Linked DNA regions of Astyanax mexicanus. The protein of the gene in region 1 purifies or fractionates together with the protein of each later gene. This does not show direct contact. Links are inferred from orthologs where the notes say so. Each region holds a gene or a part of one and is shown on either strand. Other genes may lie near its edges. The genes, in order: rbm28 and rexo4.

Region 1 (7,289 bases):
CTTAAAAAAAAAGTATTATATGTAAAACAAAACAAGCACAAAATAATGCTAAACCAATGTTCCTTAATTCCACTGAACTATTCCTACCGGACTAGTGCTGGGAAAAACATATATAGCATTTTGTCTCAATTCCAATTAATGAATAACTATTTTAATGAAGGACAAACATGATATTTTTTTATTTGGTACAAGCTGCTTAAGTCACCTAAGTGGCTTATATATATATTTTTTATATATCTTATATCTTATCTTATTTTTTTTTTTACCACGCCTTATAATCCTGTCCATAAAATACGGTATTCAAAAATGTGTTTGTAAAACTAATATATTCCGCACTTCTCAAAGGATATTAATAATTGCTTACTAAATACATTAACGAAAAATATCTGTAATTTACTGAAAACACTATCAAACAGTGCAACAATGTGTAAACTATGATTTTATTATATTTATACTAGAGGGGTCTATCCCTTAAAAAATAAATGCTGGTATTTTCCTGTATTTATGTGAAGGTAACAACAATTAAAAAGACCAGAGTTGACTGTAAACAAAAAGTAATCAACAATGTGTTGACAATTTGGAGGAAAATGAAGCCTGAATAAAAGTAGCTGATGGCTCAATAGGTAGCTTGCTTGATTAGCCTCCGTGCTAAGCGACCACACCGGTACAAATCCACACACAGTGTAAGCTCCTGCCAGTGTGAATGCAGGGCTAGCATATGAAAGAAGACTGTCTGGACATTAACAATACATTGTTATAAATTGTTATATACTTGATATAATATTACTCACTTTAAAACTAAGATTTCTGATGATAAGCCTGGCTTTCTTCGAATTGTTTCTGGTCCCTTTAGACTTCTGAGGACTTTTTTTTTCTGATGCCTCTTCAGAACATTTGGTTTCTGATGTCTCTTCAGAGTGTTCAGTTTCTGCTGCCTCTTTGGAACCTTCTGTTTCTTGTGGGGCTGTAAAAATATTTTAAAAGAAACAATAAAGATAAGAAAACAGCCTTTAGATAAACACTGAAACTAAAATAGAATACACTTTCATACACAAAAATGCATACCTTTCTTGCTTCCTTGTTTTTGCTTAAGAATCTTTTTCTTTGCCGGAACGACGGTTATTTTGCGTCCGTCATACTGTTTCATTTCATTCTGAGCTCGTTGGGCGTCCTCTGCCATGGAGTATGTAACATAGCCGAATCCACGACATTTCTCTGATCCTGAACAGGTTAAACACAAATAGAGCAGGTTAAACACAAATTAAATAAACCACATTCTATCAGGGAACAGGGGACAGCTGTGTGTGTGTTTGTTAGTCTCATTTTGGTACACTAAAGATACTTTTACTGCATCTTCATATCTTCACATGGTCATACCAGCCAAGAAACTTGGTCATCATGGTCATGCTGGTTGACCAGTGTAATCTTTTTCATGATTGCACAACAGCTAAACCAATAAATCCAAATGAAAACAGTGTGCAGGACTTCTTTTATGGCCAGTCCTTAATTATCTTATTTTAAATTACCAAAATAAGTGTTTTTTAAGGGTTAAGAAAAGTTTATAATTTTTTTAAGCAGGACTGGTATGTTTCAGTACTTTAAAAAAAAACACATTACAGCTGTTAATGAAAAATTTATGGTTTAGGGGCTCTTTAGTAACTTATTTCCACCACGACTTAATGATATCATTCGCACACTTTAATAAGTTGTGGCCACACATGAGGATCTTATTCCCAGACCTTAATAAATCGTGGATACACATTAGGAGCTGGTTCCCATGCTTTAATAGTTCATGGCCACATATCAGGATCTCGATCTAATGGCTTAATAAATCGTGGACACGCATAAGGATCTCGATCTCACGCCTTAATAAATAGTCGACTTACATTAGGATCTGGTGCCCACGCCCCAATAACTCATAGCCAAACATTAGGATCTCGTTCCCACAACTTGGAAGCTGGTTCCCATGCTTTAATAATTCATGGCCACATATCAGGATCTCGATCTAATGGCTTAATAAATCGTGGACACGCATAAGGATCTCGATCTCACGCCTTAATAAATAGTCGACTTACATTAGGATCTGGTGCCCACGCCCCAATAACTCATAGCCAAACATTAGGATCTCGTTCCCACAACTTGGAAGCTGGTTCCCATGCTTTAATAATTCATGGCCACATATTAGGATCTCGATCTAATGGCTTAATAAATCGTGGACATGCATTAGGATCTCGATCTCACGCCTTAATAAATCGTGGATACGCATTAGAAGCTGGTTCCCATGCTTTAATAACTCATGGCCACATATTAGGATCTCAATCTAATGGCCTAATAAATCGTGGACATGCATAAGGATCTCGATCTCACGCCTTAATAAATAGTCGACATACATTAGGATCTGGTTCCCACGCCCCAATAACTCGTAGCCAAACATTAGGATCTCGTTCCCACAACCTGGATTTTGTTCCAACGACTTTTATTTCGTTCCCACTCGTTAATATGTCGTAGCCACGTATTATTATTTTTTCCCTATATTTTTACATGATGTCACCTCAGGGTCTCTTTATATTAACACAGAATCCACTAGAATATAAATGTTATATTTGATGAGGGCCCCTATTTCACTGAGATCACCACAATACTCTAAACAACACATTAGAAAATCAGGACTCTTTTCCTCGTCAGCTCATAAACTTACCTTTATCTTTAACCACGAAGCAGCGCTTCACCGGCCCGACCTCAGAGAACAGCTCCTCCAGACCAGCACTGCTGGCTGAAGCGGGTAAATTAGACACGAATAAAGTGAGTGAAGCCATTCTGATCAGATTTACTCTATAGAGCTACTAAAGCACATAGAGCAGCAGCAGCAGCTCTAAACTCTGTATAATATACTCCTCCGCTCCCCGCAGTTAAGCCCGCTGAAGCGGCCAGACCCGGCCAGCGCCTCGCTGTACTACACTTATTATTATAATAAGCAGCTCCGCTCAGTTCTCCAGCCCTGAAACCTGTAAACACACGTTTTCTTACAGGGCTGACATGCTTCTCTCCAACCACACCGGATACCTCCACATCTTAATGTGGAGCTGCTGAGGAACAGCGCCCCCACACGCCTGGAGGTCTACAGAGCTCATACTAATACATCTCAAAAAAGAAAATATAATTGAAAAAATACTTTATTTCAGCTCAAAATGTGAACCTTATCTATTATATAGATGTACTACGCAACGTATTTTAAGCGTTGATTTATTTTGAGGTTGTTATGTGAGGTTGTTTCAATTATAATGAATGATAATAAAAAATATATCAAATGCTTCTGCGTTTATTTATTTATTTTTTCTTCTTGGGTTTACCTGCTTTGGATTCAACTGTTCTGCAATTAGGTTCAACAACCCTCTGGGCTGGAGAGCAACTGGTCTGTAGCACTCCATCCCATTACACTTCATTTTCAATTTTTTTTGTGGCCCGCCACATAATGGCTTGGAAAATATCTGGCCCACAGCCAAACTTAATTGCTGACCACTGGCAATTGGCTTACAGCCAATGATAACTCAAAAATCAGCGTCTCCTAAACTTAGAATATTATATAAGACCAAGTGATACTTTTGGCAGAGTGGGCAATGTGCCAAGTCCTGCTAAAAACAATGAAATCCGCATCACCATAAAAGTTGTCAGCAGAGGGAAGCATGAAGTGCTGTAAGATTTTTCAGGAAAATATGGCACAGACTTTGGACTTAATATGACACAGTGGACCAACATCAGCAGATGACATGTCTCTCCAAACCATCACTGATCATCAGTAAATTTTACATTTCATTTGGAAATCAAGGACCCAGAGTCTGGAGGAAGAGTGGAGAGACACACAGTCCAAGCTGCTTGAGGTCTAGTGTAGAGTTTCCACAATCAGGGATGGATCTGCTGCATCTTTCCTTTAAAACTTGGTAAATATTGTCTATTTCACTCTGAAATGTACATATATTAAGAGTCATTAGAATGCTGGAAGTTTAGATTCTGAGGCAGGAAGGCACCCAGTCATGAATCCAAATTGTCTAAAGTATATTGAGTAAAGTAATCTGTAAAGTTAACAGGGTTAAAAAGAACAAGTAATTAAGTGACTAATTTAAAATAAGATAACTGGGGTCATAATGAATCAACAGTTTTGTGAAATTGTGAAAACTTACGCTATAACTAATGATCATTTATGTGGTTAGGTGGACTAATTTGGCAATTAATCTTTCTATTAATTGATTAATTAGCCATTCCCTCCATTTCTGCTTCTGCCATTCAAAATACAAACTCTAGAGTAGTTCTATTTCTAGAACTGCAGTGTAAGTATTTAATATCCCGAGCCTTTAATGTGCTTTCAATTATGGAAAATAATTAATTAATTAACAAATTCACATTTTACACTAATTATTAGACACGGTTGTACTGATTTTCACCTCTCTTTTGGTTGAATATTTTTCCTGGTCCTGGCAACCCTGTTTCTGCAGACACCTAATATTAGGAACAGGCTATTCCAGTTTATAATCTACAAGAGGACGGATTAAGATCATATTGCATACAGTGAACTTCTCTCTCTTAACAAACACACTTACACCCACACAAATCCGTCATCATTATGAAAACTGAATTTCATAATGGCATCCAATTAATATAATAATAAAAAAATGCCAATCTTGATTATTCATTTTTCCTGTTTGGAGGCATTGCATATATTTATATGCAGTAAATTATTAATGTACACTTATATTGTTGCTCACCACAGTTTATGTAATTCATTTAATGAGATGGTAAATATTTATTTTAATTTACAATACATTTAACCACTAATTGGTCTTCATACAGTTCTTATAAATTCAATTAAAAAGAAATGTACCACATTATTTTAGCTTTTTTTAAGTACATTAATGTCTTAGTGTTTCTTCTTTATTGTAAGTGACCATTTAACCCTAAAAGGAGACTTATACATGTGCATTAGTAATGTCAAAACATATAAACCATAAAAAACATACTATAAAAGTCTAAATGTACTTTTTACATCAGTGGAATACAGTACATGGAACAACACTATACAGAGGTATTATAACGGTTGAGCATACTGTTACACCAGGGTTTTTTATATTTTATAATCAACCTCTCTTTAACTGACAAACAGTTTCATATGCCTCATATTGATTAATTATGTTAGGCAACAAGTGTCAAGGCACACAACTTTATCAATAATATTAAAATTAATTCTTATTGTGTTTTCAACAAAATTCTAAACATCAAACACCTTGAATATAAGGTAACTGTATGTATGTTTTACAGTTTAGCCTTGAGTGGCACCATGTTGAGAGAGTAGAGGAAGTTTTTCAGGATGGACATGTACTCCTGAGGATGGGCACGCAGATGCCCTGCATGGATCGACTCTACCCACTTTTTGCTAGTAACAGAAATACCCAGTTTATCCCACTGTTCCAACATTTCCTCCAAAGCTTCAGGATCACACAGTGCATCATTGTTACAGTAGAAGAAAAGTGCAGGAGCTGGAACAGGAGTTTTCTTGAATGCGTCAATGCCCATGTTGAAGTAGTCCACAGTCTGGCGTTTGAACATGTAGAAATAAAGCAGGCTGACATGCTTTACCACAGGCCCCCAGCGGGGAAACAAGTTCCGACTCACACCTGGAATGCAAGGAAGACAGAGGAATACACGGAGATTAAATTAAAGATGCGTTAAATTCAGGCTGCTCAATCAGAGCTGTCATCACTGTTTACACTTTGATAAAAACAAAAAAGATATACAGCTCTGGAAAAAAAATAAGAGACTTAAAATGTATGAGTTTCTTTGATTTTACCAAACTGAAAACCTCTGGAATATAATCAAGAGAAAGATAAGTGATCACAAGCCATCAAACCAAGCTGACCTGCTTGTATTTTTGCACCATGAGTGGCATAAAGTTATCCAAAAGCAGTGTGTAAGACTGGTGAAGAAGAACATGCCAAGATGCATACAAACTGAGAGTAAAAATCAGGGTTATTCCACCAAATATTGATTTTAAACGTAATGAATATGAACTTGTTTTTTTTGCATTATTTGAGGTCTGAAAGCGCCGCATCTCAGCCATTTCTCATTTTCTACCAATAAGTGCTCTAAATTACAATATATTTTTATAAAACAAACAATGTTTATTTTATTCAAACATATACCTATAAATAGAAAATCAGATAAACTGATTCAGAAACTGAAGTGGTCTCTTACGTTTTTTCAGAGCTATATATCATCTTGTTTAGAGCATTGCAAAATATTGTAACTCATATATTGAAATATGTATCAATCACCAGATGGCTGGAGATTGCTGTACTTTACAGACACTTTATGTAGCCATTTCTTCTTCCAAATTTGTCTAGGGGCATCCTAGACTGTTAATGTCCACAACATACAGCAAACTATAGCTTCCCTAGCTAAGGAGCACTCACAGAAAAAGTGGACAATGAGCAGAGAAAAGGAAAAAGAAAATGTATGAGGGGATCTAAGATTGTAGCACAGTTTACAGAGCACAGAAGACAAAGGTGCAATAGATTTTTTTTTTCTTACCAATAGCCATCCGCTCCAATGAACCCACAACCAGACTGTCATAAATCTGTCCTTTGATCCTGCTGGTCAAGCCCTGATATCTCTGGGGATCTCTGGCAATATGAATAAGAATCTGGGCAAAAGTGTATCCTCCGATTGAAAAGGCGTGAACCAGCAGGGGGCGCTGTGCGAAACGTTCACTCTCCAGGAGCTCCAGGAGCTGGCCCCCGTACTCCAGCCCCCAGCGAGGCCACAGGAACCGTCCCACCTCTGTCTCCACAGCTAGGACATCGAATCCGGTTTTGAGGTAGATCTCGCAGTACTTGGCCAGGGCATGTGGCTTGGAGCCCAACCATGGCAGAAGAAGCAGAAGAGGTCTGGGCTGGTCAGGTGGGCCAGCAGCTACAGGGTTGACCACAGAATCATTTGCATAGAATGTAACGCCCTTCCTGATCGTGTGTCTCGCTACCCCATTGAAGCTTACATTCCTGGAGGACATGACAGTGGAGGACCTGCAGAAAAACAAAGTGGTTAGCAGGTTCTGTTTCAGATTAATGGAATGTATACATCAGTTCCTGAAGCTATGTTGTATACTGTTTGATTAAATGTGCCTACAATGAAACTAAATGGTTTGCAAAAATAATAAGATACAAAATAATAAGATGTAACGCTATATGTTTGTGGGAATCAACAGAATATTTGTCAACCACTAATATTTAGTCAAATATATT
Region 2 (7,324 bases), on another chromosome or scaffold:
TTCTGTTGTATACCAATCTGCTGTAGGCTACTCATCTGTTTTAGACTAGACCACTTCAAATCTTTTTTACAGACCAGTCAGCTGTGGACCAGTCTGTTTTAGAGTAATCTGCCTTGAAGTTGCTCCACAGACCAGTCTACAGTAGATCAGTAGATTCTGTGGACTAATCTTCTTTTGTAGACCAGCCTTTTTAGCTCAGTCTGCAATTCTTCAGTAATCTGTTGTCTTGTTTTACATACTAGCTCACTTAAAAGCTGCTCTGTAGACCAGGCTATTGTTGATCAGTCTTTTATTCGGGCCTACTCTATTATAGATAGGTTTATTTAAATCTTTGTTCTGTACACCAGTTTGTGCCTTCTACAGACCGGTCTTTTATTGTGTAGACCACTCTGTTAAAATTGGTTGTATTGGCTGTAGACAAGTTGTTGGTTGTGGACAAGTCTGCTGTACAGGAGTCATATGTTGTTGAATACTTCTTTAGAACACCTTTTATTTTAGAATATACTGAGCTCCTTATGTAACAAGTCTGTTATTCACCAGTTAGTTTTCTGTTGCCTTTTATTATTGAATACACTTCTCAAAAAAATCTAGTCTACAATAGCCTAGACATGGTCTACTTTGATGCCACTCTAATGCAACATCTCTATGCAGTCACTTCTCTTCACAGCCTCTATAGTAGGGCTGATCACTCTTATCCATAATGGGATGCAGGTACCTCAGCCTTATTCTGGGCTACCTTCCCCCTCCATAAAACTGCACGACAGATGATCCTGATATCATCATACTCCACATTTAACTAACTAATATGGCGTGTCCAACACCTTCACGAGTCCCTGTATTAATGCAAACAGTGTTTTAACTGTTGTTCTTTATCTAATTACTCCAGCAGATGTGATTGAGTGATTTGCAAGTACAATACTGGGTACAGTAAGAGCTTGGGGCATACTGATTAGAGACTTGGCAAGGTGTCCTAGTCCTGAAGAGTTATTGTTTCGTGTCCCAACCATGAGAAATTTGCCAGGTTCACACGGTTCTGGGTCAGAGCTCAGCACAGAGTAGTTCAGGGTCATCACCCTCGTGCCTTAGAGTGAAAACTCAAGCCTCACTCTATTTTATTCAAACTGCTGATGTTTGGAAAGAGAGAGAATAATGAAAGGAGCATGAAATGATGAAATGAAATGAGCTTAAGAGGCTTTCCAGTCCCTGTGCTCTAAAGTACAGAACCTGGAGAACTGTCAGTCATTCCACTTGAATATAGCATGCCTACTCCAATCCCAAATACCCTCACCCCACCCACCACTGCCACCCCTGTGTATTTAGCAGTTTAAACTTATTTTTAAAAAATATTTTATTTTTCTTATTTATTTCTTTGGTGTTTTTCTTTTGCTTTCTATTTTTACATGAATGCCTGTTGAATTTCATGTTAAATATTTAATAATTTGCATCACAAAATGACCCATTTTGTCAAAGTTTTAACTTTGTAACTCCAAATATGACTTGTTTTTAAAATATTGAGGTAGTATAAAAAATATAATTTATATTCTGAAAATGACAAAAATGGTAGAGAAAGTATTTTTATTTACCATGTGTATTTAAAATGTAAGGTAACAAGTTGACATTTTGAGATAATCAGTCATATTCTGACCTGGCAGAAACATGTTACTTTATTTTTTTTTAACCCTTTCTGTGTAGGGGTGTGCATATGTGTGTTTACATGCAGTGGTTTAGCAGTTGTTAAAAATATTGATAATAGCTGCTCTGAGATTTTTCTTTTCAAATATATACATTAATAAAATATACATGCTCTTTGAACAGTGATGAATGTGAGCTTTTGGGTGAAGAAGGCTGAGAGAAAGGACCTATTCTTTTACTTTTATTTTTGTATTTTTTTCTGATGTTGAAGCTGAATATTGAAATGCTTATTGTATTTTGTATGTTTTTGTGTGTTTGAGGGAGAGAGAGTAGTCTGATGATTTATAATAGAATGACATGGAATTAATTTGCTGTAAAGAAGGATTGCTGTATGTGTAAACGTGTATAAAATAAATTGTATTAAAAAAACTAAATGCCTGTATCTGCAGTAGCTTTGGCTTTAACATATAGTAACAACATTGAGAATACTATGAAAGTTATGTTTCTGCAATCATTCATTTTATTAGCTACTTTAATTCATTCATAATTAAGTCATTCTTAGCACTGCGGGTACATTGGCATGGAGGTGGTGCTGCTAGAGTTTTTAAACACTGTGTTGAAAAGGACAAACTTATCTGGATATTTCTAGTTTGTGGGTTATTTTCCTAAGTCCAACATTGAATGTGAGGTGTTTAAAAACTTCTGCAGCACTGCTGTCTGATCCACTTGTACTACAACACCACACACTATCACCACATCAGTCCCACTGCCATGCTAAGGATCTAAAGATTAGCCACAATGATCCATAGTGATTCCTACTCTGCGGCATGCCCAGGCAGTTGGAACTGCTGTGAGTTCTTTTAGAAGCCCATTATTAGAATACCAAAATTCCCTCATTTGTTTTTCTGTATATTTGATCTTATTGTAACAATGACTGAGGAGGTCAATCTCAACACTCTTTCTTGTTACTTATAATATTTCTTAGATCTTATTTATTTTTAAAATACAAGTTTTGGGAAAATTACTAAAATGTGTTCTCATGTTATTAGCATAGCCACAATTTAGCTATTTTCATGTTTTTGCTAAAAACTCAGTCACTCATAACATAAAGAGTAACAGGACTAACAGGGGTCAGGGGTGAGCTCCAGTAACAAACCTGAAATTGATCAAATTTATTATCATGCAATTTATTAAAGAAATTGATAAATAATGAACCAAACAGAATAGGAAAAAGGTTTTTACATTAACTAATATTTATATGAATAAATCAATAAACCAGGGAACTCTACTCACTCCTGTTACTGGAACTCTCTCCTGTTACTGGCACTTAGTCCCGTTACCGGCACCCAGTCCTGTTACTGGCACTTACTCCTGTTACTGTCACTCAGTCCTGTTAATCTTTATGTTATGGGTAACAGGACTAAGTTTTTAGCCTAGAATTAGCAAAAACATGAAACATGGCCATGCTAATAGCAAACGTGATTTTCCCAAAATTTGTATAAAATAATAATAATAAGATTTAAGAATTAATTTAGGAACAAGTGTCATAAGTAAGTCATAGTTACAATAAGATCAAATATACAGAAAATCAAATGAGGGAACTTAATTTTGGTCTTCTCATGGTCTTCAGAGGAACCAGCTATTGTCACTTCCTGTTGTAGATGTGACTTGTAGAATGTTCCAGATTTTTCAGATGGTAATATAAAACCCAGGGACACAACTAAAATGTGCATATTATCTTAAGGATTAATTATGAAAAAATTAAAGCATACATGGGATTTGGAATCACACAACTATGTATAAAAATTTTATCTGAAGAATTTTAATAATTATATTTCATGGTAAAGTTTATAGTTTGAGAGTGGGGACAGCGTTCTAAGTAGTTTTTTTTTTTATTAATGTTTTAATTACAAATCTTACTTTTGCAACCAGGTCAAGGTACAAAAAAACTATGCTAAATAATAAAATTTATTAAAAAATTGTTTTGTGTGTACATTTATACATGTAATTTCTTGGGGACAGAAATGGCACAGATCCTGCGGAATATGCCTCGTAGTTAATAAGGAACGACAACAATGTATTTATAAGAAACATTATTAAGATGAAGAGGGTACAATTGTTTAACTTTTTAATTAAATAACACATGGAGAAAATAATGTTTAAAAAGTGAAACTGTGACATCTAGTGCTAGACCTCGGGTAGAGCAGTAACTATTATGTAAACTATTATGGGAATTACAGTGAAAATCATCTAATCCCCTAATAAAACACAAACCTTTAGATACTTAAGATTATTACAGATATTTAAGAATATTCCAATACGACGTTAATGTGTTTATAGATCGTACAGTCCGATTAAACCTCGAGTACTAATTTAATTCAGTTTATTTCCAGAATTCTCCACTGGGAACTCAGAGAGCCGCGCTCAGGACCCTTTACCCGCCGGGCCGCTTTAGATGTTACACACAACTGAAACACGCATGGTGGCTGCGTGGATCAGAACCGATCTGTAAGAGCGATTTAAACCTTTCTGTTAGACTGATTTTCTTAATTAACGTGTTTATTTAAAAAAAAAAGATTTTTTTATTAGACACCGATTACCCCGCCAGTCTCCTTCATCGGGCTGGTTTCTGTAGTAAAGGAGCAGAACTCCAGAGTTGTGTGTGGAGTTGTGTGAAGTTGATATGGAGGAATAAGCAGCGTCTTTAAGCTTCACAGTTTAGTCGATTTGATGACTTTAAAAGAACATCTAACGATGTCTAAAGGGAAGCACAAAGGACCCAAGTCTGATGTTCGTGCTGCAACAGAGAAGCAAGCTAAAGGTCCGGATAAAAAAGGGGAGAAAAAGAAGAAGTTTTTCTTTCAGCGCGTGGACAAAAAATCTAAAGAGAAGAAAATACAGATCCTGCCACCTAAAGAGGCGCAGCAGTTTTCATCTAACTGGAAAAGCCTCCTGGAGGTGAGCTACTAAATGTTCTTCCTTGCAAAATCCATTCCTCGTTCTGTTACAATTAATGTCAATGTTCAAAACAGATTTTGAATCCTTTATATCATTCATATACAGTTCCAGTCAAAAGGTTGGACACACCTCTTCTCATTGAATGTGTTTTCTTTCTTTTAATGATCTCTTCATTGTAAATATAATATTGAAGATTATATTTAAGCTATTCAGAAACACATGTAGAATGATAATTGTAAACAAAAAGTGTTAAACAAACCAGAATATGTTTTGTACTTTAGATTCTTCTAAGTGGCTAGCTGGTCAGCTGGAATAGTTTTCTCAGTGTTTTGTGAAGGCTAAACACTTTTTTATTATTGTTTACTGTAATTCCATGTGTCCCTTAATTGTTTTTAATGTCTTTAATATTAATCTACAAAGTCCAAATTTAATTAAATAAAAAACATTGAGTGAGAAGGTGTGTCCAGGTGTGTTTGACTGGTACTGTATTTAAATTTTTTTTAACAGTTTTTTTTGTAAGAATCTGCAGGCTTAACTTTTAAGAGAATTCTGTCTCCTTATACTTGGCTAGGTTGATATTTGTCCCTTCCTTTTGTGTGTCTTGTTGTTAATATACACAGTACACAATAAATACAACAGACGAGACAATGTAACAGACCGGACAGTGCAGTACCAATACGGTGCAATGAATGTTCTGGGGAAGATAAGGTGCAGAGATATGTAACATATAGAAAATACATGATCACAGCAGTTACTGAGGTAGAAAGTTTATAGTTCTATAGAAGGAAGCGGGAAAGACTACTGATAAAGACATTTCAGTCTATTTTTGTGTGTGTGGAGAGATTGGTGGTTTAAGTACATGATGTATCAGTAAGCCCAAAAAATACACTCGATTAACAAAGGCATGTCTAAAGTGGAATGTGAACACTAGATTTAGACTGGCAACTGTAAACACAAGTTTAATGTCCCAAAAGTGATTGAAATCAAAGGTGAGCAAAAATGAATAATATATCAATATTGTATTTATCATTCTGGGCCTTGTTTTAAGTATGTGTATGTTTGCAGCTTGCACATTACAGTCTCCTTGTAGGTCTGTCTAAAATGTAGCCTAATATTGGATTTATATGGAGTTTCTGGATCCCCACCAGAGAGAATATGTTGCTGCATTTTTATATTTTTTGACTGACATTTTTTATTGTGCCTTCTTTATAATGCAGGTTCTGAACTCTAAACAGGGTGCAGACGGTAAGAAGGACTCTTCACAAAAACAAGTACAATCTAAAGCACCGAAGCCTCAGTCAGCAGTAAAGAAAGACTTCCACAAAGCTCAGCGAAAACCAGATAAACACATAAGCAAAACAGGACACGGACCAAACAAGGACCTTAAGACACCACAGAGTGTGAAAACTGAGAAGCCAGAGACGAGCAGTGTCCAGCAGACCAGCAAAAGTCCTTCAGCACCCAAACAGCATAAAGCTGAGAAGAGGAAAGCAAAGGACTGTGAAGGAGGACCTGAGAACAACAAAAAGAAGAAAGTGGAAGAGGTGGAAAAACAACCAACAGAGTATGTGTTCATGTTTTTTTATCACAATCTATAGAATCTGAAAAAACATCAGACTTGTCATTCTTAATAATGGATGCTATGATATCTACTTTGTCTTCATTTCAGTTGATAAAAGACAATTCCAATATCGATATGATCAGTTTAGATGCCTTCACCTCTGCTTTACATCATTACGCACTGATGTAGTCAGGATATGAAAGCATATTTTTTTTGCTCTTTCTGCTCATCCTTATTTCAATAAACAGCAGTACATCACCAGTCGGTGACAGATACTAAAGTAGCGTAAATTAGATCATATCACCGTTTTTTGAAACATGTTTCCTTGAGATATATATTGATACAATATCTAGTATATAATAAATAGTATATTGTTGTATACTGTATAATATACAGTAGGAGTGTAACGGTACAGAAAATGTACGATTTGGTTCTAATCTCGATATAAACCCCATGGTTCGGTATGTTTTCTGTACGGTTGGTGGAAAAAATTAAGAGGCTGGGCATTCTGTATAGCCTCTCCTTTATTAACTTCATAATAACAATTAATCTTCATTATCATGTTTTATTTTTTTGGATGGTATGTTGTAACGGAGCTTAAGCCCTTTTATTAAATGCTTGAAACCAGGGTTCTCATGAGAGGCTTCATCTTTTAGATCTTGTTGGAACAAACGCATCAGTCTTCAGTTATTTTTAAAAAATCTCAGCATTGGGTCACATAAAAATGAATTAAAATCACGATTCATTATTTTTTATGCTGGAATAGTGTAGTGTGGTCTGGCAGACTAGATCTTTTTGTTCTGTATTATAATATGTGAGAGAGAGAAAGAGAGTGTGTACGAGTGAATTATCTGCATTTCTATGTGTGCTTTCTACTTGTGTGCTCCAGCCTGCACTGTTTCCAGTCAGAGCAAAACTTCTCAGGACAGGCTATGGGCTAAGTCAGTATTGAGTTGCTAATAGCAACAGTGCTACAGTTACTCTGTCCGGGTGCAACACTTCATTAATTACGTATTATGTTCATTGGTTCCACAAGTCTCCTATAGACTGCCTGTGCCATGTGACTCCCGTACTGTCATGGTTCGTAAAGAATACATCTACCATTGCACCCCTGATATACAGTCTATACAATAATAGCCTTTACAATGTATTTAGAATTATATCGCTGTCTAA

The links.
Region 2: the proteins of rbm28 (region 1) and rexo4 purify together in Homo sapiens (affinity purification with mass spectrometry; 3 studies listed by BioGRID and IntAct, with this or other methods). This does not show direct contact. The link is inferred for Astyanax mexicanus from reciprocal best matches to the Homo sapiens genes RBM28 and REXO4.

What each region holds. Positions count from the first base shown.
Region 1 is NC_064416.1:15,735,693-15,742,981, reverse strand, and holds the start of rbm28 (RNA-binding protein 28), read right to left. Parts: upstream 3,079-7,289; 5' UTR 2,817-3,078; coding exon 2,699-2,816; intron 1,222-2,698; coding exon 1,066-1,221; intron 965-1,065; coding exon 792-964; intron 1-791. Other genes in the region: si:dkey-5i3.5 (transmembrane protein 53), read right to left, coding at 5,305-5,666, 6,580-7,070. UniProt on the Homo sapiens protein: Nucleolar component of the spliceosomal ribonucleoprotein complexes.
Region 2 is NC_064424.1:25,787,764-25,795,087, reverse strand, and holds the start of rexo4 (RNA exonuclease 4), read left to right. Parts: upstream 1-4,068; 5' UTR 4,069-4,362; coding exon 4,363-4,590; intron 4,591-5,807; coding exon 5,808-6,154; intron 6,155-7,324.